Caenorhabditis elegans: one gene and its partner. The protein of the gene in region 1 interacts with the protein of each later gene in a pairwise test. Each region holds a gene or a part of one and is shown on either strand. Other genes may lie near its edges.

What was found.
Region 2: the proteins of gsp-1 (region 1) and gfi-2 interact in a two-hybrid assay, tested with the Caenorhabditis elegans proteins (one large-scale study listed by BioGRID).

Annotation. Positions count from the first base shown.
Region 1 is NC_003283.11:10,677,272-10,693,320, forward strand, and holds gsp-1 (Serine/threonine-protein phosphatase PP1-alpha), read left to right. Parts: upstream 1-5,150; 5' UTR 5,151-5,257; coding exon 5,258-5,312; intron 5,313-5,642; coding exon 5,643-5,774; intron 5,775-6,033; coding exon 6,034-6,264; intron 6,265-6,974; coding exon 6,975-7,438; intron 7,439-8,470; coding exon 8,471-8,578; 3' UTR 8,579-9,234; downstream 9,235-16,049. Other genes in the region: F29F11.20 (uncharacterized protein), read left to right, coding at 10,630-10,723, 11,144-11,292. UniProt on the Caenorhabditis elegans protein: Serine/threonine-protein phosphatase which antagonizes the function of air-2 in the regulation of chromosome cohesion. Dephosphorylates histone H3 at 'Ser-10'. Dephosphorylates translation initiation factor eIF2alpha.
Region 2 is NC_003279.8:9,730,082-9,747,509, forward strand, and holds gfi-2 (ANK_REP_REGION domain-containing protein), read left to right. Parts: upstream 1-7,734; 5' UTR 7,735-7,805; intron 7,806-9,421; exon of another isoform or gene 9,422-9,570; intron 9,571-10,457; 5' UTR 10,458-10,538; exon of another isoform or gene 10,539-10,540; intron 10,541-10,588; 5' UTR 10,589-10,602; coding exon 10,603-10,679; intron 10,680-11,290; coding exon 11,291-11,876; intron 11,877-12,282; coding exon 12,283-12,843; intron 12,844-12,886; coding exon 12,887-13,028; intron 13,029-13,305; coding exon 13,306-13,382; 3' UTR 13,383-14,065; downstream 14,066-17,428. Other genes in the region: K02A11.2 (SPOR domain-containing protein), read left to right, coding at 14,161-14,163, 14,894-14,962, 15,007-15,429, 15,719-15,768, 15,815-15,887; Endoribonuclease endu-1, read right to left, coding at 15,957-16,031, 16,363-16,422, 16,470-16,610, 16,662-16,769, 16,812-16,936, 17,070-17,420.

The DNA of each region.
Region 1 (16,049 bases):
AACACTTTCCAAATTAAAAAAAAAAATTATCTTCACATCAGATATCCAATTTTCAACTATTTCAAACTTTCATATACACATGTGTAAGCTGCAGCTTCACTCGGAAAACCAGTTAGATAATGTAATTCGAATGCCGCTGTGCAATTTTCAGCACTAGTTTATTTGGTTTATTCCATTTCATTCTCTTCTCGAATTCAAAAAACCCAAAACTTTTTTGTCTTCCAGTTTTCGTTGTTTCTTTTTCGTTTTTCTCTTTTCTTCCCGAATCAATGCCTTCCTTTCTCCCACAGAGGTTTTCGTTCTCTTCTTCCGTCATGTTCTTGTTTTTTTTTCAACCGTCTGTTTCTCAATTTCTCTCATTCTAACACAAAGGGTCTTGGCCCGGTGCCCCATTTTCTTTTGCTCCAAGAGCCCTTCTCTCGCCTCTTCTTCTCCTTCTTCTTCTTCGTCGTCGTCTTCGTCGTTTTTCTCACTACGTACTCCATGAGCTATTGAGCACAAGGAGACACGAAACAGGCAGTATTCAGTGTGGAAAAGAGCAACGACGTCATTTTTAAGAAGAAGAAGACGAAGATTCTCTTTGCATTCTTCACATTCACTTTTCCGTTTTTTTCAGCCCATGTTTTTTGTTTTCTTGTTTTGGTTATTTTCTACAAACTTTTTTGTCGTTCGAAGCTATGATGATGTGTTTTTGTAGAATTTCGCTAATGGCTTTCATTTTTATGGAGACTCTTCCATTTCAAAAAAAAAAGTTTATTATTGAGTTTAGGAACAAATTGCTGAGCTCTTAGATTCCCAACGGTATTAACCGGAAATATTTTCTCTGAAAATACGCAAATTATTCATTTTTCAAAACTCCTTTTCTTCCAGACATGCTTTAGAGAACAACTTCCTGTTTTGAACCATTTACTGAATGGGTGGGAGTAGATCTTTGTTATCATTAATTATTCTCTGGAATTGGAAAAAAAAACAAAAGAGGTGGGAATTCTAAAAGTATCATATTTCTTCAGAAAATGATCAGAAACTTTTTATGGTGAATGAATGAAAATTTTAGGTATTGGTTTAACAAAATATATATATATTGGTTTCATTTTTTTCACTCCACTTACTTGATGGGTTTACAATTGGTTTGTTTTCATTGTTAGAAATAATTGTGAAAGCATTAAATTCGAGATTTGTTCTATGATATATAGTCTGTCAGACATTTCCTTATTAGATACAGGTGGGCGTTAATTATTTCTTGGTATTTATCAAATTTAGTTCCAAAGTTGATAAACCCGGTGGGCGAATTTCAAAGCACTTGGGTATTGTAGTTGTACACTTAAAATGTTTGTAATTCTTTGTTTCAATCAAAACATGATCATTTATGGCATCATTATTTTTATTTGGAGACTTAGAAAAAATCAAGTCTAAGCCTGAAATTTCATTTTGTGTTTAAATGGAAATTAAATATATTTTCAACAAAAAAACAATATGACCACAAGTGACAAACCAACTTTAAATCTTACATTTTGTATAAATGTTTCCGTTTTAATTGGCCTATTCTATGATTCATAGTTGACGGTGGCGTGTTCAATGAGTTCAAAAGATGAAGTATGTTTTGTTACTTACCTTTTCTTATTTCAATATTTTTAAACAAAAAAGACAAGTGAAATCGATACGTGTCTCCGATGCTCTTGATCTTTATCCCTTTTTCAACACAAAACACACGTCTTTCTATTCATTGTTACACAAAACATTGACTTATATGACCTGTGTCTTTTGATTGTGTATTCTGGTCCTGAAGTGTTTTGAAATTTAAAATAAACGTCTGTTATGCTTACTATTAGGTATTCTGAAGCCGTCACATTGTACTCTCTTTCTCTCTGTTTCTGTGGATTCATTTTTCTTTTTTAGTCTTGGTCATCTGGAAGAATAAGAAACAGAACGTTTCTTCGTAATTCGATTAGGAGGAAGTGGTCGGAGAATGACTTGAATCATTCCGAATGTTGCCGCTGGTGATGTGAAAGATGTATATTTCTCTAAATCTCGTCAATTGTTCTGACCTTATTGCTATACTATCGCTTCGTTCCGACACTTTCCCATCGTTTATTGGGAAATTTCACATCGAATACAGACGAGACAGTCAGTTCATAACGAATTCACTGTTATTTCCCATTTTAAACTCCCGAGATGTTTGTTTATGCCTTTATAATAACGATTCATTCGAAAAGAGCCAAAAATGTTAAATTAAAAATTTCTTGGAATATGGTGATTGAATATTATATAGAATTTTTATTTAAAAAACTGATACTCCTCCCACTCACGAACTCTTTTGGACAGCTGATTCAATGTTCTTCAAAAACTTGCTGAGTTTTCACTTTTTGCTCACGAATATCTAAAAATTAAGCTAAGCTAGCTGAAAATCATCAACTGATAAAAAACATACAATTACCGTACTTGTCTTTGAAGGCTTCTGTTCTATCTCGTAGTTACTGAGTCGACTCAGCGCTATTTGAAAGCAGATAGCAAATAAATAACGAATGATTCTAGCCATAGACTTTTTCGATACATATTTTCAATGTGATCTTATTAATTGCGGCTACAGTATGTTGAATAACTAAATCACATTCTGTTTTCATTACATATTTCATTAGAAGCATGTACCTAAACTTTTTTATACGAAAAATCTTAATTGCATCTGTATGCTCATATATAGTAACATTTGATTGAATCAGTCTTTATTTTCCAGCACAAGGCGTTCCTTCGAGCCCAAAGAAACGGTTTTTCTTCCCGGTCTCTGCGCCTTGTCATCTTCGTTTTTCTTCCTATTTTTCGCCCTCTCAAAAACTTGCGGTTACTTGTTTAGTCAACAACTTTTTTTGCTTCTGCTTCTGCGCGATTCAATAAATTGAATTCGAGACCCTCATCTCAACGTGAGCATCTCGTTGCCCCGTCCGTCCCTGCTTTCCTCCTCTTTTTTCATTTCCTTTCGGTCTTATTTTGCCTTCTCTCGATCTTTTTCACATGTGCTTACGTTTTCTTTCACCTCAATCAAAGCTCGAACATGATACTAAATTTTCGTGAGAAAAGTTTTTGACTAATAATTGTTTTTAGCTGTTTATTTGAAAGCGTAATTCCGAAATTTTCACAAATCTCCAAAAAAGGAGCCTAGTACGGTGGTTTTTTGTGTGCAATTGTGCGTCAACTTGTGAACAGTGTTTGCGGACTTTCAAAATAATTTTTGTCCTATTGCATTTTTTGAATGTTTTTCATCGCTTTTTTCGTTTATGAAACTGTTTATGTTACGAAATCAAGTAGTTTTATTCTTTTTTAAATAATTTTCGTTTGATATAACTATTTTCCGTAATGTCATAGAGGCTTAAGGTGATTTGAATGACTTCTTGGGGTATTTATTCCAGAATTTATTTATTTCGATTGAATAGAAAAGAAGTTGGTTTAAAATATGAATAACATGTGTTATCATTTAGTTTATATTGTTAACATTATATTAGTCATCGAAAAGTTTTACACCGCGCAATGAAAAGAAAAATAATTACGAAATTTTATGGCTCGTAAATAGTTCTTTTTGTAACATTTTGTTGGCAGAAACATACAATTTGTCATAATTTTATGCTTAATAATAAAAAATTGTTTATTAAGTGTTGTTTGAAAAAAGTCTGGAATGTCGTATATCTTTACCGCACAGGAAGTGTTTGCCTTTCTCAATCTTTTCTTTCTCGTCGTCGTTTCCTCTTTTCGAAACGTTCTGCGTGCAAATCAAATACTTGTACATCTCGTTTTGCCCATTTGTTCTAGAGAAGAGAAAGAAAGAGCACCTCAAGCTTCTCTAGCCGTTTTTTATTGTTGTTTTTTCTCACAAGAATAAGCGTTACCCTTTTCAAAAGATAACAGACTATGCGCAAAGTGTGATAAGAAAACCTTCTCGGAAGTTGTCGCCGTTTTTGATTCCATGACGTCTTACACGATGTCAGTAGTGTCGAACCAATATCGCACGTGCCACCGGAGGTAGTGCAATAACATTGCGAATTGTTTCGGCGAAAGAATGGAAACGACGGTGGCGAGTTATCGATCAATACTGCGGGCAGTGGCCGGTGGATCGGCGCGCGTTCGTCTCTCGCTCCACTCGTACACTCACACATAGGGACAGGCACATACACATGCGTCTCAGTCCGTCGTCACTTTTCGCTCCTCTTTTTATACGCGGCATTTCATCCCGATCTCCTCATTTTCCTCCACTATTGATGAACCTACTTTGCTTGACTACAGCCACACATGTTTCTCTTTGAAAGCTTCTGTTTTCTCTCTATCATATCTTCACCATTTCCTTTTTCTAGTGCTGTAAAGTTATCCGCCTGCTGTGACGACGGTGTCGTGTTTATGACATGTTCCTCCTCGGGGTCGTTGATAACGGCAAAGAGAAGGAACGGGCGTCGTCTCGTTACCGTTTTCCGATAAAACTATATAGGTGTATAACTTGAAATTGGCCAGAAAAAAAAAGAGTATTAGAGTAGCTTCGATTTGCCTCAAGGTGCATAAAGCGGTGATTCACGTTTCGAATTTGAGAGACGCAGGTGTTTAAGTGAATATGGTCTCAGTTTGCTCCCCAATTCTTTTTGTTGTCTTTTGCTACCACAGGACGAAGGAATTTCTCTTAGTACACCAACAAACTTTTTTCTTCAAGGCATCAGTTGCTCGTTTTCTATTTTCAATGTTTAGAAACAGTATAGCACAAATTTCACATAATTCAGTTTTTTTGTTTGTTTTCACGACACGCGTTTGTTGCCTTTTCAAATTCAAAATTTGCATATCGATTGTTAAAAACCATGTGTTCTTTCTTTCTCAAACATTTTAATATTGTGTCCATCACGTCATCGAGTTTCCGATTGAAACAAATCACTTTAAGGTTTTTATTCTTCAAAAATATAATCCAATCAGGAAATTTGAAAACTATATTATATTCGCATTACAATTTCTTGATAAAATTCTCATTTTTGCATTTTTCCTCTTGGAATTGTAATGATACGCATCACATCCTACTGCTGTTGTTTTTTGATGCTTTTTAAGCTTAGTCTTATCAATTTTCTCACGTTTTCCTTGAAGTTTTTTTTAAATTCTCACGCCAACGTTACTAATTTTTTATCTTTCAGCCACAACCAATATCAGTTGTCGGCCAAAAACATTGCAAGAACATACATCACTTGCCATCCATCAAAAGTGACCAACAGAAGCCGCGGAGATTGCAGCTGCAAAAACAATGTCGAACGATGGAGATTTAAACATTGACAATCTGATCACCAGACTTCTTGAAGGTGGGTTTTAAAGTTAATAGAGAAATTGATCTAATATCGACATTCGAACTAAACCAGCTGTATAGTTGTTCAGAAATTTTATTGAATTTTATTTGTTTGAAATTCCGACTAGAAATTCCAAATATTCTGGTTTTGAGGAATTTTGTTTAATATAGCAATTATCATTATTTATTATGGTTGGCAACTATTTATTTCAATAATTTCTGTCATTTTTCCACTTTCCGATTTTTACGGTCGTAAAAAATTTAATTAATATTTAAAATTTTACTAATTCTCTTTAAAGCTTATTTTAAGTGACTAATTTGATTTTTCAATAAAATTATTTTTCAGTTCGCGGATGTCGTCCAGGAAAGCCAGTTACCATGTCGGAGGCGGAGATCCGTGCTCTTTGTCATAAATCTCGTGAGATCTTCCTATCACAGCCAATTCTTCTGGAACTCGAAGCACCTCTCAAGATTTGTGGTGAGTTTTTTTATTATTCAAAAACCGTTTTTGTGTCTGCAATGTAAGAGACGACTAGAGAATATGGTCAATAGTCTTCGATTATTTATAAATTCTGTCTAAAAATTCAAAGATAGTTCAATTATTTAGTAAAAACATCACTGAACGTATGTGATTATTGGAAAAAAAGTCCGAATGTCATTGAAAAGTTTCGCAGCATACAATTTAGAATGTTAATTTCTCTAAAAGTTCAATATGAATGAGAAATATTTAATTTTAGGAGACATACATGGACAATATAACGACTTGCTCCGTTTATTCGAATACGGAGGATTCCCACCAGAGGCCAATTACTTGTTCCTCGGAGATTATGTCGATCGTGGAAAGCAGAGCTTGGAAACAATTTGCTTGTTGCTCGCATACAAAGTCAAATATCCAGAAAACTTTTTCCTTCTTCGTGGAAACCACGAATGTGCTTCAATTAACCGTATTTATGGATTCTACGATGAATGTAAGGTTTTTTTTTGCTTTAAAGAAAATTCGAAATATTAATTGAGATATTACGTGTCCATGATTTGATGAAAACTGCGGAGACGCCTGCGTCTCTCTTCTCCACACGCTCTCTCGCCATAGGCGTTTTGCATAGGCGTTAGATAGCATGCGAGAAAAAGAGACGCAGGTGCTTTTTGCGCTTAAGATATGGCGATTTTTCTCACCCGCACATGGATACGTAATAACAAATTATTCCAAAACAAAATATTCGCTTTTTTTTAAATTTTCATACGCCCGTTCACATCAAGTAGAAACTTTCTCCGGATGACAAAAAGATTCTTAATAACCATGCATCGGTTGTGTATATTTTAATTTATATTTCAACGAAAAATTCCATTAAATTCTGGGTTATTAAAATTTGTCCAGTTCAATCAGCAAATTTCGATAGTTAAAAAAGGAAAATTATGTCAATTATTTTTTCAAAATAACAGAATAATTACAATTTTCAATCAATGTAAAAATTTGGAGAACAATAGCTACTGAATTCTTTGAAAAAATCAGTATATTTTGAAGATTTTCTTATTTCTCTTTTTTTCAGATTCTTATACTCAAATTTTCATCAAATATCAAAAAAAAACGACCAGGTCCTCAAATTTTAATTTAATAATTTTTAGAAGTAAAAATTGCTGGAATTGTTATTGAAAAGTCTTTAAACCAAATAATTTTCAGGTAAGAGACGTTTTTCGATCAAATTGTGGAAAACTTTCACCGATTGCTTCAACTGTCTTCCAATTGCTGCACTCATTGATGAGAAGATCTTCTGCTGTCACGGAGGACTCTCCCCAGATCTCCAAAATATGGAACAAATTCGCCGTGTGATGCGACCAACCGATGTTCCTGATACTGGATTGTTGTGCGATTTGCTCTGGTCTGATCCAGACAAGGATGTTACCGGATGGGGAGAAAATGATAGAGGAGTCTCGTTCACATTTGGACCTGATGTCGTTGCAAAGTTTTTGAACAGACATGATTTGGATCTGATATGCAGAGCTCATCAGGTCGTCGAAGATGGATATGAGTTCTTTGCTAAGCGACAACTTGTCACACTATTCTCTGCTCCAAATTATTGTGGAGAATTCGATAACGCTGGTGGAATGATGAGCGTTGATGAGACATTAATGTGCAGTTTCCAGGTAAGAATATTTCTGTTATGTATTCGAAGGCCGAACAAGGAGAGAAGACGAGTAGTTTATTACATTACTAAACTAAGGAATAAATAAGTTAGTTCATAGAGTTCACGTTATACGATCTTCTTAGCCACGTCGTGGGTCAATACACGTTCCAACAATTTCATTCTTTTTCCAAATATTCCAGATCCCCGAAATGGAATAAATTCAAACAAGATGGAAAATCAGAAACCAATTTTCTAAATGTGTTTACAATTGATTTTTAAATTAGGGGTCGGGCATCCTTGGTCAAGAGGAACCGATTTCGAAAAATTGAAACCTCGTGAGATTGAAAATCGAATTTATGTAAAAGTTCCTGCTCTTCAAATTTAATTTTGGCTGGGAACTCATTGAACATTCGCATCACATCAAGAAATAATCTAGCATGAGATGAACCTTTTTAGAGAAAAACGGCACCGGCATATTTACAAATTCGTATTAAAATGATCGAGAAAATTAGAATGCTAGTGGCTGTGTATTTCACGTGAAAAAAACTATCAAATTCTTTAATTTTGAATATATTTCACAAAATCTCGTGAAATTTGTATCAAAAATCAATAATTTTTCGTAAATCTTAGAAATCTCAGGAACCGAAAATGAGCTGTATTAGTATTTCACCTTCCATCTTCTTTCTTTTCCATATCAAAATATGAGAGAAAAAGTACCATCAAACGGTACTTCTTTATTAAAATCCTACATTTCGGAAAAAATTTAAAATGTTTAAATATATAATGTTGATAATTGTTCAGTTAGTGACAATTTGTTCTTTTCCCGAAAAAACAATCTAACTCAAGTAGTTGCATCCCATGTTACGTCAAAACTCTTTTTCTTCCAATATCCTCTTGAACCTATCGGGAAATAATGACCAAACTGAACCATCAGTGATTATTAGATAATTTTATACTCAAAAAGCTTATAGAATTAATTTTGATCGGATAAGACTGAAATTGTTTTTTTTCAAATAAATTAGAAAAATTTGATTCATTATTTATTTTACAGATTCTGAAACCATCGGAGAAAAAAGCGAAATATCAGTATCAAGGAATGAACAGTGGACGACCAGCAGTGGGCGGAGGACGGCCTGGAACGACTGCTGGTAAGAAGTAAAGTGATGAGGAGAAAGAACATTTTTGCCTACATTTTTACTCATTTCTCTCGGATTTTTACTTTTCTGTCCGTTTTTTTTGAATTTCCCTTCTCTTTTATCTCAAACATTTTATTATTTTCTCGCCCTCAATACACCCCACCCCGCACAAAAACGAGTTTTAAATGCTCTTCATTATTATTTTCTTTTCTGATTTTCTATTTTTGTGCAACTGTACTCGATCGAATATAATTTAATTTTTCTGGCGAGTACAGATTGCAAATCTTTCTCTCTCTCCTTCTGTGTTCTCCATTTTTAGCTAAATTTTCTCATATATTTTTTTTCTGATTGCCTCTCTTTTTCCATTTGCTCTTATCCTGTTTTATTCTTAGTTGTGAGCCTAACACACCGGGATCAAAATCCTTCCGATTTAAAGTTGCAGCTTATTTATTCTTACAATGTTAATCACACAAACATTCTGAAAGTACGAGAGCGAATTCGTTCTTATTTTTTAGAATATTGAATTCTGATCCGCCCCAACAACACGCACACTGATAATTTTCTATGGTTTTTATTCGAAAATAGTGAATTTTTCTCGACAGCTCCCCCCGTTCCTTTTTCTCGCCCCCATTTCCTTCTTTCTTTCCTCCAACTGATTCCAATGAATATTTTTTCCAAAAGGTTTCTCTTGCGCAAGAACCAGTCACTCAAATTTTGTGTGTGTGTGTTTGGTCAAAGTATTTATAAAACACATACTGTCTTCAGGCAAAAAAATAATGGAAAAAGTATGAATCACATTGTTTGGAATGAGTACAAGAATAGAAATAAAATGTTCGTTGGATGGAAAAAGAATAAAGAGAAGGAATCCTGCCAAGGGAAACCAATTACTTCTGAAACATTAAATCAAGATCAGGGAAATTTAATATTTCAGAAATAACTGCAACACATAATCCTTTAAACTGGGCAATTATTTTTTAAAAATTCTATTTGGTAGTTTTCAGAATGGATTTCGTCGCCAAAATAATGTTATTTATAAACCATTCGACTCAATAATACGATACCTGGACCCGGCACGACTGTAATATTTTTTAATGATTTCTGTGAAAAGCAGTGTGCGTCTTTCAAGAGTACAGTAGTTTACACTTCTGACTGCTGCACAATGTTTTCAATTTTTCGCTTTATTTTCTTTTGAAAGTTCCTTATTTTCAGAAATTTAAAGTATGCATGTGAAAAAAACTATTTTACAGAAAAATGTGAAGGAATCTTAAGATGTGAAAAATCGAAGAAAATTGCATTCTACAGCAGAACGGAATGGACGCCACTGTAATCATTAAAGGCGCAGTCTTTTTTCTCGCAGCTTTTATTAAAACATTTTTTCGTGACGAGACCGGGTACCGTATCCCAGCGTCATTACAATTTTCACATCTGGGAATATTGTGTTGTTCTTTATTAAGGAAAAGTTAACAAAAAACACTTTTGTTGTGATTTTGCGAATTAAATGAGGTCCCGTGTGCGCCTTTAATGAATACTGTAATATCAAACTCTTGTTGCTTCGGAATTTTCATAGATTGTTCATAGTGTTTCACACGATTTTTTAACATTCATATGCTTTGTTTTTCGTTTTCTTGATTAAATTTTTCTTCAAACAATGAATGATTAATGAAAATTCCGAAGCAATAGCTTGAAATTACAGTAATTATTAAAGGCACACGCCTTTTCGCATTTAACGAACGTTTGTCGTGTCGAGACCGGGGACCTTATTTTTTAGATCGCAAAATCTTGCCGTGTAATAAAATCCTCGCATTCCAATTTCAAAATGCTCAAAGTTCTTAATATGTGTGTGGTTTGAACTCATAGTTTGCTCTACAGTGCCGTAATACGAGACGGAGCACACAGGTTAAGACGTGTTTGAGCAGCATTTCACAGTTTGTCGCAAAAACTTCGAACAGTTTTTTGCCCGTTTCGCAGACAACTTTGAGAGTTTACGAGAGTATTTCACAAGTAAATACATTATTTCCTTCAATTGTTGCCACTCGGTCTCATTGACTGTGTTTCACATTATTTGCAATTGAAAATGTTCCAGTTGTTTAAAGCTCCGCCCATTGCAGTTCGCTTAGATAGAGAAAAACAGAGAGGAATCATCAGACGACAAGATTATTGCTTTTTTGGTGGGTTTTTTCAAATGTATAATTCAGCCTATAAAAGGTAAACTTCATTTTAACCAAGATGGTTTTAAATTTTACTTTAGCTCTAGTAAACATGGTTTTTTAAATGTTATTTTTTCCTTTAGTTAAGTTGTGATTGGACGTAAATTATGAGTGATTCCATAGTTAAAACATTCAATAGGATGGGTCTCGCCGTGATAAAAATTTATGGTAGAATTTTTTACATTTATTATGCATTCTTAATTAATTTGTATTTATTACTTAAAGACTTGTTAATAGTGACAAATATCTGTAAAATTCACCAATGAATCCCGGTTTTCAAAATTTAAATTTCTAAAATCAATAGTTTTTCCTTCTCAACTCTCGAGGAAAAATTTGTCTCTAAAGCATCTAAAAACAAAATGATATCATGTATTTGCACAGGTATGCTCAATTCGTCCATGATTGAACAACAATTACCGTATCTTATGAGTTTTCCAATCCAGATACTTATTTATTTTGAGCGATATAATTTGGTCATAACTCAATCATTCCATTTGGTATTTACCAATGGATATTTGAAATACCAGTAAGCTCTCATCTCTCAACCAACCGCATTGTCTTGTCAATAGTCCACTTCTCGCTGTTCTTTTTCATTTCACCCGCCTCCACTTTACCCTCTCAATAATACGTCATTTTCCCTCATCTTTTTCACGTACATTCTCATTTGGCAGATTTTGAGAAATTAAAATAAATTTTTATCTTTTTGCATCTTTTTCTCTATTCTTTAGCCATTTTTACCTTATTCCCATTTTCTCATTAAAAAAAAACCGGTGTCAGCTGACCGGTCTGCCAACCGAATTTTTAGAAAATTCCGTCAAAATTTTTGTGTTTCTCTGACAACCGAACGAGGCAAAAAAAGAAGAGGAGATGACATCTTGTTGAAACCCGTTTGGAGTTGGAAAAAAAATTGGACGAGTAATGGGAAAAATGACCAGAAAAGACGACCGTACAAGAAGATGAAGAATTGAATTTCGAGATGAACGAAGGAAATCGTGAGATATTTTGTAGAAAAATGAAATATTCACTGGGAAATAGAAGAAAAGTATAAAATTTCAGAAAAAATTTGATTTGAATAAAATTTGATTTTAGGTTCAAAAGTCAACCCCTCCCACCTAATAAAAGTTCAATATTTGAGAATATTCATCTCTGAACAACATAGTCTTCATGGCAAAATCATCAGACATTAGGGCTCTCGGACATTAGAAATACTTGATTTCTCAATGACACACACTTAAATTTCGTAGTAAATCAAACCTAAAATTTTAAATTCGTCAGAATTTTTTTTGAAACATGTAAAACATAGTTATTTAAAAGTGCTAAAAAGTGACTAGCGCGTCAAGCGCGCTAGGCTTCGCAGTAGATTAAGTTGGTAAACTGGGGAAAATTTGGATCTTTTTTAACCAAAATTGACTGAGCCATGGCCATTTGAAGATAATATTTTTTCTGGGTCTTTTTTAAGTGTATTCGGGCCTGCGGCACTCATCCTGATTTATTGGGCTCAGAATAGGCTTAATGGCTGTCCAATACTTTTATGTATTCGGGCCTGCGGCCCTCAATCCGGATTACCTGACCATTCCAAAAACAGACGTAGTTATGGAAACATACGTCTCATAGAAGGCCTCCAGCCTGCTCTGCTGGGAGTAGGGATAGAAAAGGTCTAAAGTTTCTAAGAGTAAAAAGGATTTTTTGGGTTTGAGTGAAAAACAATAGCATTGCAGGCCTCCAGCCTGCCCTGCTGGAAGTGAGGTTTAAAGTGACCAAAATGTCCGAGAAGTGCGGTCCTCAATAGGATTAGAGAAAAAGTAAAAATCTTGAAAAATCTTTAAAATTAAATTCTCCTCACGTTATAAAAATAAGAAATGAAAATTATCGAATTCATCCCCAAAAATAGAGAGTGGTAGGAAAGTTTTTCACGTTTAATCCATCTTTTTAATTTTGCAAAATTTGAATGATGGCCTACATTTTGGAAAGTTGGTCAATTTTTTTCAAAATAGTTTCAAAAAATTGGTAATTCGAAGTTCTCTCTTGTGCTCAAATTGGAACCAAATGTCAGAAAAACTGCTCGTATGGTATTGAAAAATATAAAACTCTTCAGTGCAAAGAAAATATTCAATTTTCGCGGTCTCCAGAAACCCGCGCAAATCAGTGTTCTACCCTTCCCAAAATTAATCCCCTCAATAATGACCATGGTGGGGCAACTATTTTTGAGTCATTCGCACTTAGTGAATGCAAAAGCGCCAGCTATGAGCCAAGTTATTAAAGCTCAAAGTTTGTACATTTTTGTCGGACACCCCATGTCGAAAACGTGCCCTTATTTTTTATTTCTGTCAAGTATGCAATTTCAGGATTTAATATAGGAAGAGGCAGATTTCGTGAGGTTTATTATTTTTTAGTCTCCTAAGTTCCAGAATCTATTGATTCTTATGAAGGAGACACTATTCAAATTGCCTACCAAAATACTTTTTTTGTTAACTACCACTGTTCCCGAAAGTCTCCAATGAACATCCCTTGTTGTATAAACCTTTCAATGTATACCATATATTCAGTATGAGGGCAATAAATTTCACATTTTGTTTCCAAAAAAAACGAGAGTATGGGCGTGCAACTACTTAGTGTAGAAAAGGATTGAGAGAAAAGGGGTTTTGGTTTTGAAAGTGATTTTCATGACATACATTCATCTCATTCGGCATCATTTTACTGTAGATAACTGTTACTGCATTTACTAGAAAATACAAATATTACCTGAACATTCCTAATGAATCACATTTACTATTAATCGGATTGAGTTTTTAAGCCTAAAACGCAACTTATTGAATTTCCCTAACAAAAAATCGTACATATATATTCAAATGTATGCAATATGAAATGGTTCAGCTTTTTTTATATTTTCAAATTTGAAAAAATTATATCTCTATTGATTTTGAGAATAGAAGAATAGTGAATCAAAAAACTTAAAAAATAAATGAATATTGTTTTCTGTTGACAATTGTTTTTATCAAAACTAAAGGAAACCGAGGATGTTGAGCAATGTGACGCAGTTCTAAATGAGAAAATACGGCAATTTCTGAACTTTTCTCTAAATAACAAAGACAAATAAACTTGGCACATATGCTCAAAATAAATATATATTTCAAGATGACTAACTCAAAATGTTATTATTTTTATGAATATCCCGAACACCTGCTGCTGAAATTACCAATCTTTGATGATTGTTTCACCTGCATTTCTTCTTTTGATTTTCATTTCCGTGTATTCTTTTCACCTATTGTCCAAGTGGTTTCGGTACTTGACACCAGTCATCATCCACCTCCCGCTTCCTCATTTTGCCATCGGTCTTCATTTTCAATGGCAACAGTATCCAATATCCTCGGATCTTTCTTCATTTTACCTGTAACTATCTTCCCTCCTCATTGCTAGTATCTATCATATGATCCAGTCGGTTCGAACCAACTACTTGAGCTTCGAAATAGTGCATTGATCAGTGAGACGCAGATATTTGTTCTTCTGTTGGTGAAAGGGGGCACAAAAAAGAAGCCTCTCCCTATCGGAGGGAGACTGCACCGCGCGAAACGTGAACCGAGGATTCACGCAATGTCTTCCTCTCTATGTCTCTTTCCGTCTAGACTTATGCCGGTTACTGTCTTCCTGTCTTCCTGTCTTTTCTCTAAATCTTTTTTTCTAATAATTACAACTTTTACTCAGTTTACTCATTCTTGCTTATGATGTTCTCTAACTGTTTCATAATCTACCTGATTTTTCCCAATACTTGAAAAGATTTAAAGATTACTCATTTACCGCCGCGTTCCAATGAACTTCTTGAACCTTCTCTTTCATCTTTACTTGCCAATATCTAAATTTTCTGCAGTTTCAGCCAATAATGTAATTCCACACATTTTTCGAAATAATTTCTAAAATTTTATTTCAAGCTATCTTGCAACCATTGTTGAAGTTTTTCTCGTGCGGAAATTTGGTACCTGAGTCTGAGTCAAATCTTTGGTAATGTTTTGTGAAACTCAAATTCAACAAACTTCCTTTTCAAAGTTGCAGTCCGTAACGCTGAACGTTTAGAATGTTATTATAAATACGCATATTTGAAAAAGGTTTCCCATTAAATTCCAAAAATAGTTAGAATTTCATAGACGCTTCTTTGCTTGTCATACCAGCATAATTTGAACCTCTCATTATCATTTAACAGTAGAAATATATGTATAATCTCTGTTGTTTCTTATCGTTTTCTTTTTCTTGAAAACGCTCTCTTGTTCACTTTTGTTCACTTTTTTTTACCTCAACGTTCTCATTTCGAAAACGAAAATTGCCTACTTGAGAGGAGCACTGATCGCTCAGTAGCTCACATTTGTCTTCCAAGATCGTTTTCAAGTGAGCAAAACTGTGAAATGTGCACTTTTAGGTACGTTGATCCGTTTGTTAGCTAACTATTGTAAGTTGAGCCAGAAAATCTACCTACCCAGCAAATTTCATAAATTGAGAAGCCGCTAATGTGCGGGAGTTACATATATGTTTAGGAGAGGCGAGCCCATTAATATGTGGAACACTATTTTAATCATACGTATTGTTGTTATTTATATCTGTAACGAGCTAGTTCAATAAGATTTTTGAAAAATAACAATAACATATTTCACTGTAAGTTTCATTTCCATAAATCGTTGTTAGGTATTTGTCAAATCAACCAAACCAAGGACTTTTCTCCTTAAAATATAAACTGTATGTACCCAAAATAAAAGTAAAAAAATCCGAAATCTCATCTTCTAGCAACTGCAAAACATGAGATGACATGGGTGTGAGTGTGAAAATTGAAGAAAACGCGACATCTCCCTCTTTCCGTTTTTGTCAAATATAATTTTGACATACACCCAGCACAATTTACGCCTTTTCACCCAAAATACGTCTTCCGAGAAAAAAAATGATTCATGCCCTCCTCCAATAATTTTCAAATTCATTATCAATGCTTTATTCAAAAGAAGATTAAACTTCAATTACTTGTCATGAACTTGATTTTTTTGTTGTAAAATCCGCATGTCCATTCAATCGTATTATTCCTGTCTGTTGTTTCATCACCAAATTCAATGGAATTATAGTCAACTGCCCAAATTTTGACCAATTTATATTTGTCTGAAACTGAACTGACAGCATTCATTTTAAGACGATTTTTGAGTATTGAGTTTCCTATCGAAAAGTGACGACGAACTCAATGATCATCAAATTTTTATTATTCTCAAAACTCGGTCTTTGTTTAACGTTCCAATATTGTTAACACCTGATAAATATT
Region 2 (17,428 bases), on another chromosome or scaffold:
TCGCACGTTCGAGGCGAAGCCGAGAACCCGCGCCAGCTAGCGGACTCGCCCCAACCCCACCTCTACTAGCGGGCCCCATAGAGCCCGCTAGTCAATTTCTTGTCATCGAAACTCTAATCGATGCGCTCAAAATGAAAACGATCGTGCATTATATTATTTTTTATCGCGAAATTGTTAATTTTTCCTACGTTTTAATATTATATGTTAAATACTTCAAAAAAAATGTGGAGAAAAAAGAAGATAAACGCGGAAAATCAATTTTAGGTGACAGAAAAATCAAAACGAAAACTACCGTAACTTAAAGGCGCATGTCTTGTTTACTCGTATGGGTCCCGCCACGATGGCAAATCAGTTTAAACAGATTTCTTCATTTCTGGATTTAATTGAATGGAATTCGTTATTTTCTTTTTGAAATTAAAAAAAAAAGCAAGTTCTGTTTAAATATTTTAAATTAAATAGCTAATAATGAGATAAAAACAATGATAAACGGGAAAAATCTAATTCAGTTGAGAGAGAAATTAAAAACAAAAAGTACCGTAATTTAAAGGTGCATGTCTCGTTTACTCATATGGGTCCCACCACGACGCAAAATCAGTGCAAACAGTTTTTTGTTTTTTGAATTCAATTGAATGGAATTCTTTATTTTCCTCTCTAAATTTCCAATTTTAAGCGATTTTTTTCTATTTTTCCTATTTCTTTTCAACAATATTTCTTACAATAATCGTAACGTCGTTCGATTGCAGAACGTCACACACTTTGATCATGTTTTGTTCGGCGAGAAAAAAAAAACTAGCAATGTTCGCGTTTCAACCTTCAATTTTCTCTGTGACACGTACATTTACTGTAGAATTTATCAGCCCTAATCATACTAAATAGAAATCATGAATTTTTAAAACTATTCTCAGCGCAAAATCAGTTGCTTATAAAATCAGTTGCTTTTCCCAGACCTTTTGTTCTAGAATATATATTTCCCCTTTATTATCGCTATTTTTTGCTCTGTAAATCTATGAAAAAGTATATTTCTATTCTTCCGATGTTCTGAGAATCTGTTTTTAGCTGTAAGTGAAGTTTTAACACTCGAACTGTCCTCTAGTATAATCATATTCCTCTTGTATAGGTAATCCATTGTTGCCCACATACATATAACTACTAGTGAATATCTCAAAATTCAATACATCTATAAAATAGTGAGTCATTTTCGCTCCTTGCGAACTGTTGTATCTACCTGTCGTTTAATATCTCTGTGTCTCTCTTAAATTTATATTATTCCCTATTCATCGTGTTCGATTACTTTCTTCTCAATCGGCCTCCCCCCAAGAGGGTCGCCGTCTCGTACAGGAGACTCGAACAACAGTGACTATACGCCATGAAGAGAAAGCAGACCCAACGAGAGACTCCTTACGGTTCCCCGGCCCGACTACTCACCTTTTCGTACCAGAGGACTGTCTCCTCTTTCTCTGTGACTATCGGATTTGTGTGCACTCTAGTGGATTCTTTCATTGTCGAGTCAAACCAAATAGCCATGGGCGATTCGCGCAAATTTCCTCCCTCTACATGTCTATCCTCTCCTTCCGTTCTCCAGATTTTCTAGTTTGAATCTGCCACGTGGATTCTCAATTTATTTTTGAGATTCGATTTTTGATTCATCCGACAAACCTAATTTCTTATACTTTTTTTTCTATTTTCTTTTATCCAATTTTTCAATGGTAAACAAGTGAAGCGTGTCAATTATGGGATGGCTTTCACATACACACAAAAACACTTTAAAAAAAGAAAACGAGAAATAGATGTCTCGCCCGGATATGTAACAACTATGATGATGATCATCATCGCTCGTGACTATTATTACTATTATGATTTCCCTTGTTTTCATACATACATAGTTACAACTATTATAGGTATACTTTTCAATCGATGACACGGTTTTGACATAGTTCACTGGCGACACCCGATCTCAAGGTCGATAGATTATAGGTGTGGTTGTTGGGTTAAGGTTCCCAACTACTACCATATATCATTCATTTTGCAAGAAGTTTTTACATGTTTCCTCACTTCTTATTTCTCTAAAAATTCCTATTTACGGATGTGTTCTTCTTGAAACAACCGGTTAGGTTTTGATTCATCGTAATCCCAATTACTTTGATGATTCCCATCATTGAGGGCCTCGGAACACCTTGTCATAGTATCGTTGTGAAAAGAGAAAACAACCAAATTAGTTGGAATAAAAAATATAACAGGATGAAAAAATCTGCGGATTGGAAGGAAATCATTGATTCGAAACTTCGCGTAGGCTATATTTGACAAGGTGGAAACCAGGTTTTCATTTTTGAAAATTTAGATTTTAAGAAAATTAGCGATCTTCAAGATTCACATTGATATTTAACTGCATTGGTTTGAAAAGAAAATCATAGGAATTACGCAAATCTCTTCAGTGTTTCCACTCAACTGTATCTAACAATATTATAATTTTTCAGTTTCTAGACGAACATAGTGTTCATATAAATGCGACGAAAAAGGTAATGTGAATATATCTGCGTCTCTTATAATTCCACACTCTATTCTCATGCTTTGCTTCTTCAGCCTCTCAAGCTCCGTCCATCGACACAATTCATTCACTTATTCGCTTCCACACACACAACAAACCTAACCTCGCTATCCCGTCCCTTCACTGCATCTTGCTTTTTAGGCATTTTTTCTCACCCTGCGTCTCTTCATCATAAAGTGTTATTTTATTCCAGAGAAAAAGTCTGAAAAAAGAAGAAGTACGTCAACAAATATAAAAATGTACGGGGAGAACATCTTCTCCTTTTTCTTTATTCGAAGATATTCGGCAGAAAATTACACGGTGTCTCTCTTGTCTGTTTCCGTAAAGGACGTCTTTAACTTTTTTTTCTTCTCAATTCTTCTTTTATCCGCTTCATTCGCAGTTTCCGATATTTACCAACAATATCCATTTCACTCTTGTCGACTCAATTTGTTCCGTTCTTGTTCCGTTCTCATAGACCAATATTTTCACTCTCTCACATCTAAATCTCGTAAATTGAGTTTTGATTTTCGTTTTAATCAAGCAAAAACGAACGAAAAGAGGCAATTATCCAATATTAAGTGAACCGAACCAACATATTTCCAATACAGTATCCATTCTTACCTAAAAACTTGAAAAATGGAATTTTTCTCATTCACATCTTAGTTTTGGCCGTTCACCACCACCCCCACATAAGATGTTTTTCACATCGTTTTCTGGTGCCCTTTTCCAGAAGCGACCTCTCTTTTTTCTCGGGGATTATCCGCCCACAGATGGCAATTGTGTTTCTTGCAAATCTCGTTTGAGATTTTGAGTCTACAAACATCCTTCTTTTTTTCCATAAAAATTCCTTACCATTTCTTTTTAAACATGAATCTTACATGATAACACAGCAGTCAAAAAAACTATTTCACATTGAATATAGTTTGTCTTCGAAAATTGAATTGACGTCATATTTGTTAATCCTATCAACTTGTTAGATCTTAACTACGGTCAATCGATTTCTGTGATTGTTTGCGTTTCTTCTCATAAACACCGTTCTCTCGAACATCCGAACTCAAACCGATTCGTTTCGTTTTCGAACACCGAGTGCACAGAAGCCCAATTGGTGAAAACGATAGATCACATTAATTTAGGAGAGTACCAGAAAGATTTGATTGTTTGTTTGTTTTGACGGGACGGGTGGGAACGAAAATGCAGAGGCACATATAAATTTGGAACCATCTAGGCGCATAGGTTGGTACGAAGACAGCAATAAAGGTTTTTCTCATTTTTAATTCGGAATATCATCGGCATACTTCCTAAATAGTTGTGTTAGCGTTTATAAAATTGTAGCTGAGAATTTCTGTAATTCAGTGCCATTTGGAAAGTAATCGGTAGACTTGCAATAATTTACTGGGACTGATAAGGATGTTCAAAGACTAATCCAAGCTCAAGTAGTTTTCTGCTTCTTCCTCTTGCACTTTGTTTGCCTGCCATTGAGGCAAAACTGTGCGTTGGAATTTCTGTGTTGCATTTTTCATTTTGCTCTCCTGCGCGAGCGGCCACTTCTTCCTCCTCCTCCTCCTGCTTTTCACCCACCTTTTCCAAAGGTCGTCAAGAAATGGGAGAGATGAAGAGAGAAACAAGAGAGAGTTGTGGAAAATACAGCGAACACAGACGCAGACTGATCAATCATAGACTTCCTCGGGGGGTCTTTCCGAAAGACCACCATCAACACCACTACCGGCCGTTAATTATTATGCTTCCGGTATCTGGTGACCCTCTGGTGGTGAATATGACACACGTCATTTCTAAATTGTGTCAATGGTTCCTTTTTACCGGACAACAATTCATTTGCATTGTCCTGATAGGAAACATCATGAATATTTATCTATGTTTATGTAGTTATATATTCTACATGTATCAGAGATAATCTAGATAATTGTATTGGACACAGTTGAAATTCTAATTAAGAATACAGTTTTGAAATTTTTTAATTTTTCCCAGAGAACTTGATATGAGATAAAACCAAAAATCATGCGATGCCAGACTATTTCACCTGTTATTGCTATTCTATTTTTGGAAACTTACCTTTATTTCTTTGACGCATATTATTTGTGAATGATCTTTTGAAATGCAATCTGATTCTTATTGATGAAAACTTTAGTTCACAATATCGAAATTTCATTGGAAAAGATACATTTTTTGCTCATTTTGTAGCTATTTTCGAAACGAAAAAGTCTACAGAGTCCAAAGAAAATCGGTCTTTCTTATTTATTATTCTAACTGCAAGTACACAAAAGACGCTTGGCAACGTGTTGGAAGAAGCATAAATTGTTTCTACGGAGTTTTGAAAACGCGTCCATGTGGGCAGCACTTTTCTCTGTTCACTTACACACTCTTTGCCAAAAAATGCTCTGACAAAAGAGCAAGATGCTATGTGTGTTTCTCCAGATGAGTAGTTTCGATGGATGGTTTTAATTAAAATCGAACCCTTTTTCTCTCTGCTTTTCTGCATCTTTCACATCTCCACTTGAATTTGTCTTTGCCTTCTGGAGCTCCAAATAGTGAGGAGCTCACAAGTGGCTCCGAGACGATGATGCTCCGTTGGATAATGAAATAGTGTTTCTTGTGTTGCTTTAGCTTCAATATTTCATATGTCATACTAAATTCTAAGAGATTTTACATTAAAAAAAGAAAAGAAATTATATATATTTTTTCCTTCAAAAGTGACTCATCGAGTTACTTTGTCTCAATTCGAGGAAAATTTTCGAAAGAGTTTGATGAGGAATTTTAATGAGAACTTTGCCGGAAAAGTGACATGAATAGCCTCATCGTCCATGTTTTCCAGCACATTTCGGAAATGCAGAAAACAGGAATCGCGTGTGCTTCGGTGTCGAATATCCGTTTCAAATTGGAATTCTGAATTTTCGATCTTCAAATTTCTAACTATAAGTCTGTCGTCGAATAGTGCATTAAAAATCATGTTTCCAAAAAAAGAAGTTGTGACGTTCCAATAACTTTTCCCGTTCCGTTAGTCATTATTTGTTTGTCTTCTCGTTTTGATTTGGCCCTTCGAATGCTCTCTGACTCAACTATAAACTCACATCTCTCATGTGGGCGCTTGCTCGTTCTATCATAAAATTGATAAGGGAAACTATACTGAAAAATGTATGTTTCTAGTTTCTTTTTTTGAATCGAGGCAGATTTTAAAACTCAAATAATAGAAATAGATCATAATGACCCAATATAACTGTAAAAAAGTTTATACAATTTTTTTTTTCAATTTTGCAAAAAAAATTAAATGACACCATTTGGTGAAATCATAGAGTAAAAATCGATATAAACCGTTGTCGGAAAAAACTCCAGAAAACTTTGTGTGGTCTAATCAGCCATTTTAATTTTTTTTTTTGCAAAATCAAAAAAAAGTTACAAATTTTAAAACAGTTATAACCACTAAAAACCCACTATTACTCCTATATGTTACTCCAATTGATTTCAAATAAACTGTCGGATATTCTTCAATTCTGAAACGAGAAAACGTATCCGTCAAAAATCTTATGAATATTCAATGGATTCTCATAATTCATATCTTCTAGTAGTCACATTTCTGCTTTGACGTTTTTTTTTTCAATCGAATAAAAAACTGAACAATGGTTAGAACCTGAATTCTCTAAGTAGGTTAATCGTAATCTTGAAATAAATATTTTCCAATCATTTTTAAGCCACAATTGCTTATCAATCACCATTTTTTCATGAAAATCTCTAATTTCTCTCTCATATAGAATAGTATCTAACTTCCTGTCGAAAAAAGATTCAATCTTTCATGATCACCCCGCTTCTCATGTTATCACGTGTCTACTGATGTTCCAATCAGTTCCCCTCTTCTCAACTTTATTTCTCAATTCAACAAAGGTCAATCTCGTGTCGTCGACGACGTTCTTCTCGTTTTCTCAAGCATCAGAACTACCAGAAATATTATTTTTTTTAGTTTTTTTAAAATCCTTCCATCAATGTCCGTCGTCTCCTTTTCTCCTTCGTTTCTCCTTTTTGATTGTTTTTGCAAACAAGACACGCATGTTCGTCTCAAGAGCCACACCACTACCGCCGGTCGACGCAAGGGAGCTCCCAGAGAGCATTCTTTTTTGTCTTTTCTCCCATCAGCAACAACTTACACCGGTTAAACGCGTTTTTTTGTGCCCCTAAACGGAACTTATTGAAAATCAGAGCTTTAGAGACAAGGGTGTGGTTTTTTTTGAATTTTCTAATAATCGAAAAACGAAAAAGTTTCGATTTTGATTTTAAAAACTTATAAATTCATCATCGATATTTGCAAATTTTCTTTAATTTTTCACAGTTTCTGAAGAAAATGTTATCAAAATCTTGTAAAAGTTTGAATTCATTTGTAAAATTACAAAAAAATTCAAAAAGTGAAATCGAAACATTTTAAGTTATTTTCGGTAACGTCCGAAAAACTGAAAACCCTGAAAAAATATTTTTTTTTTTCGATTTTTCAATAAATTATATCCGAGTGTTAACCTTTTTTGGAGATAAATAAGTTTTTCTGATGAACATTTAAAAAATCTTTTGAAAATTCGTATTTCTTCGTAAATTAAAAAAATTCTGAAAAACCTAAATTCAAATAAATATAATTTCGGTTTTCGAAAATTGCCCTAAAAATTTTTTGTAATTTTTTATTTAAAAAAGTTATTAGTTTTCGAGTTTTTTTTTAAATTTTCTGATCTCAAAAAATCACTCTCAAAACTAAATTTTTCGTGAATAACCTCAAAATGTTGAAAAAAAAAACGTTCAACATTGTTTTTTCAATGTTAAGCAACATATGATGTTCAAACTTTGCTCGAATTTCAGATTTCGCAACAATAAAAACTCTATATAAATATACCGTTGCTCTTACAAACTCTGCGTCTCTTGTCATCATCATTGATCTCTTGAAACTTTTCTTGAATAGCCAATAAGGGAAATCATCCATCTATCGGGAGAGAGTCGTCTCAAATTTCCGGAGGAAAGACCACCTTTTGATATAAACTCTTACTCTCTCTTTCTTTCTTTCTTTTTTCATTTATTTTCTGTTTTTGCTTCATCTTTTTCTCTTTTTCACCTCTTCCTTCATTATTTCTCAATTTATTTGATGAAAAGATCTCATTAAAAATTGGCCGCTTCTAGTTATTTTTTATTTCTAATTTCTTTCTAAATTTCAAAACTTTATTGTTTCAGATTGGCACTTGGAGACATATCGGGGATTTCAAGGGAACGAAAGAAGAAAAGATACATTATATTTGTAAGTTGATTCTCTTTTTAAAATTAAACAAAAAACCATTAAAAATTGAAGAAAAAAAAAAGATAATTTGCGAATTTTTGCTATTTTCGATCTAAAAATACCGTACCCGGTCTTGACAAGAAAATTACTCTTAAATACAAAAGGATGTGCGCCTTTAAAGAGTACTGTAATTTCAAAATTTCGATGCTGTAGAATTTTCATCGATTTTAAAAGCTTTCCTTTAATAAATTTTTTAAAACTAAAATAAAAAACATTAAAGTTAGATTTCAATAAATAAATAAGTAAATTTTTACCCAAAAACCATTAAAAAATTAAAAATTTCGAAGTAACGAAAGTTTGAAACTACAGTACCCTTTAAAGGCTCACATTCATTTGTATTTAGCAAAAATTGTCGTGTTGAGACCAAATGCCGTATTTTAAGCGCAAAATTACGTTTCTCTTTTCTGGTATGCCGTTTCCGATTTAAAACATAATTATTACGAAATTTAAAGTTTGAAAATTAGCTAAAAATAGTCTCAGCCAGAAAAAATCACATATAAACCTGAATATTCAATTATTTATTCTCTTAATTTCCATCTTTATTTCCTTTATTTCCTCCCTACACCCGCTCTCAATCTCCAATAAAAGAATGAGAAAAATGCGGTTTTCATGCCCCCGTATCGATGAAAACTGAATGGAAGGAAACGATGATAAGAGACGGTTTGACATGATAATGATGGCCAATTGATAGGAGAATCAGAGAGAATAAGAATATTCAAGAGAGTAAAGAAATCACACACCCTCAACATTTTCGCATAGAATTGATTAATCGATGAGTTTGCAAATATGAGCATAAATAGGTTAATGTTTCTATTAATTTATAGAAAATTGAGTGTTTAGTGCTCTTTTATTGCTGTGCTCAATTTTTATTTTTCGAAATATATGAAAAATAGCCATTTTTCGGTTTTTTCAGGAATTTTTTAAATTGGAAAATTAATTTACAATGAAACCATAGAAAAATTAAAAATTCGGTGATTAAAAAAAACATTTCTTTAAAATATAGGAAAAATACTGGATGTTGCTGAAATTTCGAATTAAAAAAAAACAAGAAAAATTGAAAATCATTTGTCGTTTTTTTTAATGTTCAAAAGTTAAAATGATTTCCAATATACCGTCCTATCTTTGCTTTTTAAAGATTTTTCTAACTTTAACATTAACATTTTCGAGAATCTATTTCCCTGACGTTTTCTGTACATTTTTTTTTTCGATTTTCCAAACATTAGAAAATCGGGCGAAAGTTTCTAAAAACTAACTATATTTCAAAAAACCTAAATTTTGAGACATTGAAGGCTGAAAAATCAAAAATTCACACCAAAATTCAAACGCATAATTTATCAAACTTAGTTTTTCGACAATTGGATACAATTATTTTTGGTAATTTCAGAAATCCCTTCCTAACTTTATTTACTAGTTTATAGTACTAGTTGTTTGTCTCAATACTTTTAATTGTTTGTTTTTTCGAACTTTGATTGATCTTTTGGCATCTTAAAAAGTCATTTGTCGTTTGAAATGCGATCAAAACACACTTTTATCATTGAATTCTTCTTCCTCTTCTTTTTTTCCATTTTTCCTATTGTCTTTTAAGCTTTATCACTCTATCTCTCTCTTCATTTTCTCAGCTGGCCGGTCCTTGAGCTGTGATCGGTTGTGGCACGTAGACTCCGCCACCATCATCACCGATCGACCAATGTGTGATAGTGGACCCTTTGGAAGTGTTGCATTCAATAAAAGAGAGAGTGAAGAGAGGCAGAGAGATAGCAGTTTTGTGATGAAAGGGATCCCGAGAAGTGTGCAAAGAGAGAAGAAGATGTGATCCGAGTGGTTTTTTGCACGTCCGGTGTCATTTTCGTAAGGTCCCGCGAATTGTTGTTTTAGTATTGAAAATATGTGAATATACTCTTTCTTTATTTCTTTACAAAAAGAAAAAAAATGTCCAATTTTTGTTCAAAAATTCCAAATTTTACTACTAAATAGGATACTGTCTTAAATTTATTTTTGCTAAAATATTATACATGAAAGATAAATTAGGAATATTTGAATGGAAAACGATGAAAATCGTGTAAAGGAACGAGAATTTGACTTTAAACTACTCTTTAAAGGCGCACATCATTTTTGATTTAACAAAAATTTGTCGTGATGACACCGTGTACCGTAGTTTTTGACGCAAAATTTCGCGATTTTGTGAGTTTGGGAGTGCGGGAGCGCGGGATCTAAATTGTTCTACAAGTCTACAGAAGCAGTTTTGATTTTAAAGATTCATTTTTTTTAAATAAACATGGAATTTTATTAAGAGTACTTGATCACTCTGGACTCTTATGGTTTTCAATCATCTCAGTTTCCGTTCTCTCATGATTTCCGGTCATTTTGATCGAAACAAGAAACCTTTTTCCTTTCTCCACTTTTGTTTCCTTCAGCAGCTTCCTTCTCAAATTGTGTATATTTCGGATTGAAATGTACTCTTTCCTTTCTCTTTTCATCTTTTCTCCTCTATATGTTCAGCATCATCATTGTCTTTGATTTGATATGATTCATTGGCGTGCTTTTTGAATATCAATTAATTTTTGCAAAATTTAAGATTTAAAATTTATTTTTCATAACTCTCAATAATTTCAGAAACTTCATCAATATCAATGAATCTGCTTTGGTCTGGCTGAATTCCTTGTCAAGAGTTTAGAACCATTTGAGCTCAGCTCAGTGTGAGTTTCAAGAAAATATAAACAAATTTCATTGTGTTTTTTTTCCAGAAAAAAGTTTAAAAATGGATCACTCGGAGCTCATCGCCGAGCTGCCCGAGATCGAGAGAATGACGGCTCAGGAGAGAATAGCTCTTGCAAGGTTTGTGGATTTTTAATTGAAAAATCAGTTTTTTTGGATTTTCTAAAAATTGATCCAAAAAGGCTGAGAGTATTTTTGAAACTTCTTTTATAAAATAAAATGACGGTCACAAATTTTGCCTTTCTCTGAGCGGCCGAAAGTTAATTTTTATTTAATTATACAATTAAAAATATAATATTGTTAACCTACTTTGCGCATTTCGGTGTTTAAACGGCGGAATTTATTTTATTTTATTTTTTGAGAATTTTCAATAGGTTATCTATTACCCAGATACGAAATTTTGCGATGTCGTACCCAAAAATACGGTACCCAGTCTCCACACAAAATGTTCATTAAATGCAAAAAGTTTATCCCTACTAAGAGTACTTCTATTTCAACCTCTTGTTTCTGCGAAATTCTCATTTTCATTTTTAATACCTAGCAGTAGCCTTGACCCCATGAAAACTTTGAAAAGACAATAAAAATTTCGCAGCAATGAGGAGTTGAGACTACAGTACTCTTTCGAGGCAAAAATCTCAAATTTTCTTTTGTTGCCAGGTTGAGCATACTTGAGAAATAAATATGATGCTACTCCACCTTAAAAAAATAAGTCTAAAATTGAAATATTTCAGAGATCGTCGGCGATTACAACTTCGTCGAAACGATGAACGAGAACGAGCCCTTCCGCCGCCTCGACCGCGACGTCAACGCCTTCATTTTGCAGCTGAAGTAGAATTATTGGAGGCGACGTGTCGAGCGGATTATGCAGAAGTCGAACGGTTACTCAACGATAATGCGAATCCAAATCTTCATAATGATGATGGTTTAACACCTTTACATCAATGTGCCATCGATGATAATCAACAAATTATGTTATTGCTCCTGGAACGCGGTGCAAATGTAAATGCGCAAGACACTGAGCAATGGACACCTCTGCATGCGGCAGCATGTTGTGCTCATATTAATATTGTAAAAATTCTTATTCAAGCTGGTGCCAATTTATTAGCAGTTAATGCAGAAGGTAATATGCCATACGATATATGTGATCATGAAGAAACTCTTGATGTAATTGAAAGTGAAATGGCTGCAAGAGGAATTACACAATCTTATATTGATGAAATGCGTGGTGCACCTGAAAAGGCTATGCTTGATGATATGAAAATGTTACATCAACAAGGACGAGAGCTTGATGCACGAGCACCTGATGGATCAACTTATGTAAGTTTTCAATTTAAAATTTGCAAAAAAAATTACTTGAGAATTTAGTTATTTACATAAGTATATCGTTATTTTGAAATATGGGAAAACTCTGAATTCCTTTATACTTTAAAATAAAAAAGGTCAATTGGTCCAAAATGAAGCACTTCAGCAAAAATTTGAAAATATTTGCAAAAAAAAAAACAGAACTTCTCCTCGAGGAGTACACGAGCTACGTAAATCGACACATGGCTATTTTAGAGGTTTACATGATTTTACGGTCATTCTTCTATTTTCAAATATGAACGCAAATAGAATTATTGTAAAAAATTAAATATTAAATTTTGAAAAATATCGAAAAAAAAGAACCACAAACTATAGTTCGTGATTCTTTTTTCAAAGATGTACATTATTTTAATATTTTCAGCTCCATGTGGCATCTGCAAATGGATATTACGATGTTGCTGCATTTCTTCTCACTTGTTCAGTTTCTCCATTGATCCGAGACAATGATTTCTGGCAACCTGTACACGCAGCCGCATGTTGGGCACAACCAGATCTCATCGAACTTCTGTGTCAGTACGGAGGTGATATTCATGCAAAGACGAAGAACGGCGAAACGCCAATGGATTTATGTGAAGATATGTCAACGAAACAAGTAATATCTCAATTGGTACAAACAGAAGCACGACGACGTAGACTTGCATTCGGAGTTCGTGATTCGAGACGGCAAAGTAAGAAAAGGAAGAAGTTTGAGTCACCACAACAAGGAGCAACAACTGGAGATAATCCATTCTCAGCTCGTGGAGCTATTCGTCGTCAATCATTACGTGATCGAAGTGGTCTTACACCTGCTAGAATTGAAGCACAAAAAGAAGGAGCTGATATTCTTAGAACGTGGTCGAAAGAAGATGTTTCTGCTGATGTACATTCTTCTCAAGGATCTCTTCAACATCAACGAGAATCTCCGAGCAAACGTGTGCTCAAAGTAAGTTGAAAAACTAAAAAAGAGATTGCATCATCTGTGTAAGTATTATTTCCAGAGTTCACAGAATAAACAAGCGAAGCCAATGTCACCGGATGAGTGGCTGAGGAAACTCGAAACAAATGCAGATGACGATTTGGATACAACGCCGAAAAGAAGTGGAAGTACAAGAAGACGACAAAAGAAAGGTGATTTTCTTTTTCCTTAAAAAAAAACTATTTTGATTTTTCTGTGTGCATGATTTCGAAAACCAAAAATCTTTTTTTTTTCTAAAATGAAAAAAAGCGAAAGAATTGTTTTTTTTTGCCAAAAAGAGATGAGAAATATCTTATATAATATCATTCTCCCGGATCGGTACTATAAAAATGTTTTGTTCACTATAAAAGTTAGAAAAAAATCTGGAATCTGAAAATGAAATCAAAAAGACCAATTTGAAAAACCACGAAATTATCATCATTTTTTCAGTTCCAGGAGACATGTCCGATTCCCGAAATGGTGATGTTAGAAGACAAAAGTCAACGTGTTGCTGTGTGATATGCTGAATCTCCGCCCCGATTGTCCAGTTTCCAAATAGGTCCCAAATCACTCCTGGGTACTGAGTACCTTGACGACAAGCACATTTTCAACGTTTTGTCAATGTTCAATGTTTATGTCTAAAAATCTTCTCTTCAATTCAAAAATCAACACAAAAAACCCCAACTAACGTTACCAACTCCCAACAAAATGGATTTCAATTACGGTTACAATCTTCGCTGTCTCTAGTATATTCTGAAATTTTCTTGTTTTTTCTTTCTGTTCATCTAGTTCACTGTGTCCTGTCACTTGTTTTTCCATGTTCTATACGCATTGTATGTCCCCTCAAATCATTTCTCTACTGTGATCGCCGCCTTCTCTCTCCGAACTTTGGTCATTTTCTCTTAAAACGTTTAGTCCCAAATCTATATATTTATATATGTATTTCTTTTATCGAAATGTGTAAGACCTCTTGATATATCCATATTTTCTGCTGATAATTCTAAAACGGTTGTGAACTGTCTAATTGCTTCTTGAAAACCCCCAAAAATCCTTCACCTTTCTCTCTAAATTTCTCCTCACATTTATGACAGAATTTGTTTGTTTTCGAATTTTCTTCTTCCATCAAAAATTATTTTGTTACTTATGTGGATTGATATAGACTTTTACTTTAAAACAAAAGAGTCAATGAATATTTATTCAAAGTTTAAAACGTCCAATACGCGATTACATCGGAAAAAACGACAAAAAAAAGAATTAATTTATTTTCAACTTCCCAAGATTTAAAAATTAGTATTGCTTTTTAACATGGTGAGTATTAGGCCATTTTCGCCGAAGAAATACGGTGCTGGGTCTAGAGACGACAATTTTTTGGTGAATGTGAAAAGGTATGCACCTTTGAAGGGTACTGTAGAGTACTGTAATATATTTCGATAAAACCGTTAAAAAATTTTTTTTAAATTACTTGATCGTCGACGCAATCGCCTGGTTGCTGTCGCCCATCGGACCATCTCTGCATTTCCACTTGGCCCGGTGCCAAAACCTTCGGTCGTGGGTCTCGAAGCGCACGCGATTACGGTAAGGGGCGTGGTTTGAAATATCAAACCTAGAAAATAGCGTTACAAGTCGAAAGCGAGTAAAACTGAACGGTTTTGAACGAAATAAAATGTTAGAAATATCAGAAAAATTAATGGAACAATAATAATATTATTATTGTTAATAATTACTCGATTAGTGTGAGAAATTGGGGCATGTCATAAAAACCCAAATTACGGGTACTAACATAATTTCGGATTATATAATTATTGATTATAAAACTCGTACATAACAATAAACACATAATGTTTTACAAATTATGAGAAAAACCATGAAAAATCGATGAAACATCCGCAAGAACTAGAGTTTGAAACTACAGTACTTTTTAAAGACGCACACCCTTTTTTCCTTCGACATAAGTCTGTCGTTTCGAGTCCCCTGGGTGCCCAGTACCGTATTTTTTACAAAGATTCGCGTCTGGCTTTTATGTCAAATTTTATTTCAGGAGGATTTCTTACAACTTGTTGTGAAATGTTTTCCAATTGCAACATTTATAGTATTCATTACATCATGTGTATGGTAGTTTCTTTATTTCAAAAATGAATTTCTCATTTTCAGACAAGTAAACCACAAAAAACCGAAACAATTTCCTCGTCGCAGTCAGTGACAGAATCATCTGAAGAATCTGAAAAAGAAGCAATAATCATAGAAACGAAGAATCCTTTGATGCTCGATGATGTGATTTCCGAAGACAGAAACGTCGCATGTGGCAACCAGAAAGATTCCAGCAAATCAGCTGAAACTGCAGAAAAGAAAAAAGAAGAATCGAAAGCAGAACAAGAATTCATTTTAGATGAAACCAATCCACATTTTGCATTTCTTCTTGCTGGAGAAAATCGAGATCAAGCTCAAACATTTTTGCATGGAAAAATTGCATATGAGCATTCGAATGCATTTCAGTGGGCAATGAAGAAACGATTGGCTTTTGATGAAGGATGCTGGAAGCACTTGAGCCGCAGAATTGGAGCTATTAGAGCAGAGGTATTACTCAGATTTTGAATACGGTAACCGGTCTCGTAACTAACATAAATGTTTTATACAAGACTGAAAAAAGTGTGTGCACCTTTAAGAAGTACACAAGTTTCAACGTTTCCACTTTATAGTCTTTCTAAACAATGTTTTTTTTTCAAAAGAAATAAACAACAAATAATGGAAACTACAGTACTTCTTAAAGGCGCATATTCTTTTTTGCAGCCATCAAAAAATATTTTTGATCGTTTTTCGAGACAGGGTACTGTGTTTCTGCGGATTTTATAATCAATAATTGCAGGGATTTGAAGTAAGAGTGAATACGCGCCAAGCAAGGGAGAATAAGCAAAAGTCTTTTTTTTAATTGTTTATATTTTCTTACAATGAATAATTTCAGTGCTGATCGTGAAACGAAAATCGATGCAGTATTCAATAAATATGCAAGGGGAAAAAAGAAGAGTGGAGAGTGAACGAATATATTGTTTATCCAAAATGAATATTTATATATTTATCAAACGATAGTATTTATACAGTTTCAATTAATTGAATCGATTTTGAGCTCTACACTGATCAGTTATTCTTCCAGCTGTTGGATAGATACTCCCAATGTACACCTGAAAAAAAAACCTATTATATCGTTATTTTGTGTAATTGTATGTTGTAAAATAGAGAAAATATACAACATTTAAGAAGGTTCTATAATTTTTCAGCAGATATATTCGGCCTATTTAGCATAATTATTTTCGGACTGTTGTTTATCATTTGGGTAAAAAACCTAGTCTCAACTCTACTTGAAACGTTATCTTTCAAATGTTATGTTTTTTTTGTGAAATCTAAAAGTGATCTCCTATAGTTTTTTTTAATAGAAGAAGTTTATTTGAGACGCCTCATTTGGCACAACTACATATATTGGGCATCCGTAATTTTGATTTTTACTTCACAAACCTTATTCTGTTGCATAATTTCAAAACTTGTGATTTGAAGTGGACATCCGTCGAATTCAACCTGCAAATCTTAAATTTATTAGAAAAACTCCAAAAGTCACAACTAACATCACAAGTCTCTCTTCCTCTTCTTGACAAAAAACACATTGTATACAGAGCCATATCAAATTCTGGAGATGTTCCAATTAGAATTGAGCCAGCTCGTTTCAAGAGGCCGTCCCATGTGAATTTTAGTGCAGCCATTATGTTCTGAAAATCAATTAAAAAAGTTTCCAGTTTTCTCACAATGAAAAAACTTACGAATCTTTTTACAGTGAATCCTTTATAATCAAAATTCTCGGTTCGATTATTCTCTAACACGTAGAATCTAACCCAATTATGCATTCCAGAGATTTCACCATTTTTTGCCTAAATATTCACACTATAAATTGAATTCAAATCTTGACTAACTTCTCCAATAAAAACATGTTCAAACCCTGAAGTATCCGGGCGTCCCAAAGCTCTTGAGTAGTGTGAAAACCAAAGTTGTCCAATCCAGAACCGAAATACTTGGGGGCTTGTGGCGATTGGATGACCTGAAATTACAATAAACAAGTTTTTCAATGGTACCAATGGTACCAGTACGTATTGGCCCGATCAACCAGGATTTATGTATTACATAAATTTAAGAAATTTAATATTTTCAATCAACAGAAATAAATTTCTCACCTTTAGCTTTAAACCAATTATATAGTTCCTGCATTGGACGTGACTCTAACACATAGTCCAAAAACTTTCCAACTTCATTTTTCTCTTCAGCTTGGCTAACACGTGGCTCAATAACACCGGTTTGTCGATTGAAATTGTCCATTAAATTAATATAAAGCTCATATGATGGCTTACGAAACAGCGAAGTATCAACCTTTGAAAAAAGTTTCGCTTGTGCTGCATCACTATCATCTCGGGTTACTGTATGTCCTTGATAGTTGAGCTTAATTTGATCGGGACGAGCACGGTTTGTGTCTACTTGACGAAGTTTTTGAGCCATTGCGAGAAGTTCCGAGTTGGATACATCAAATCCTATAAAC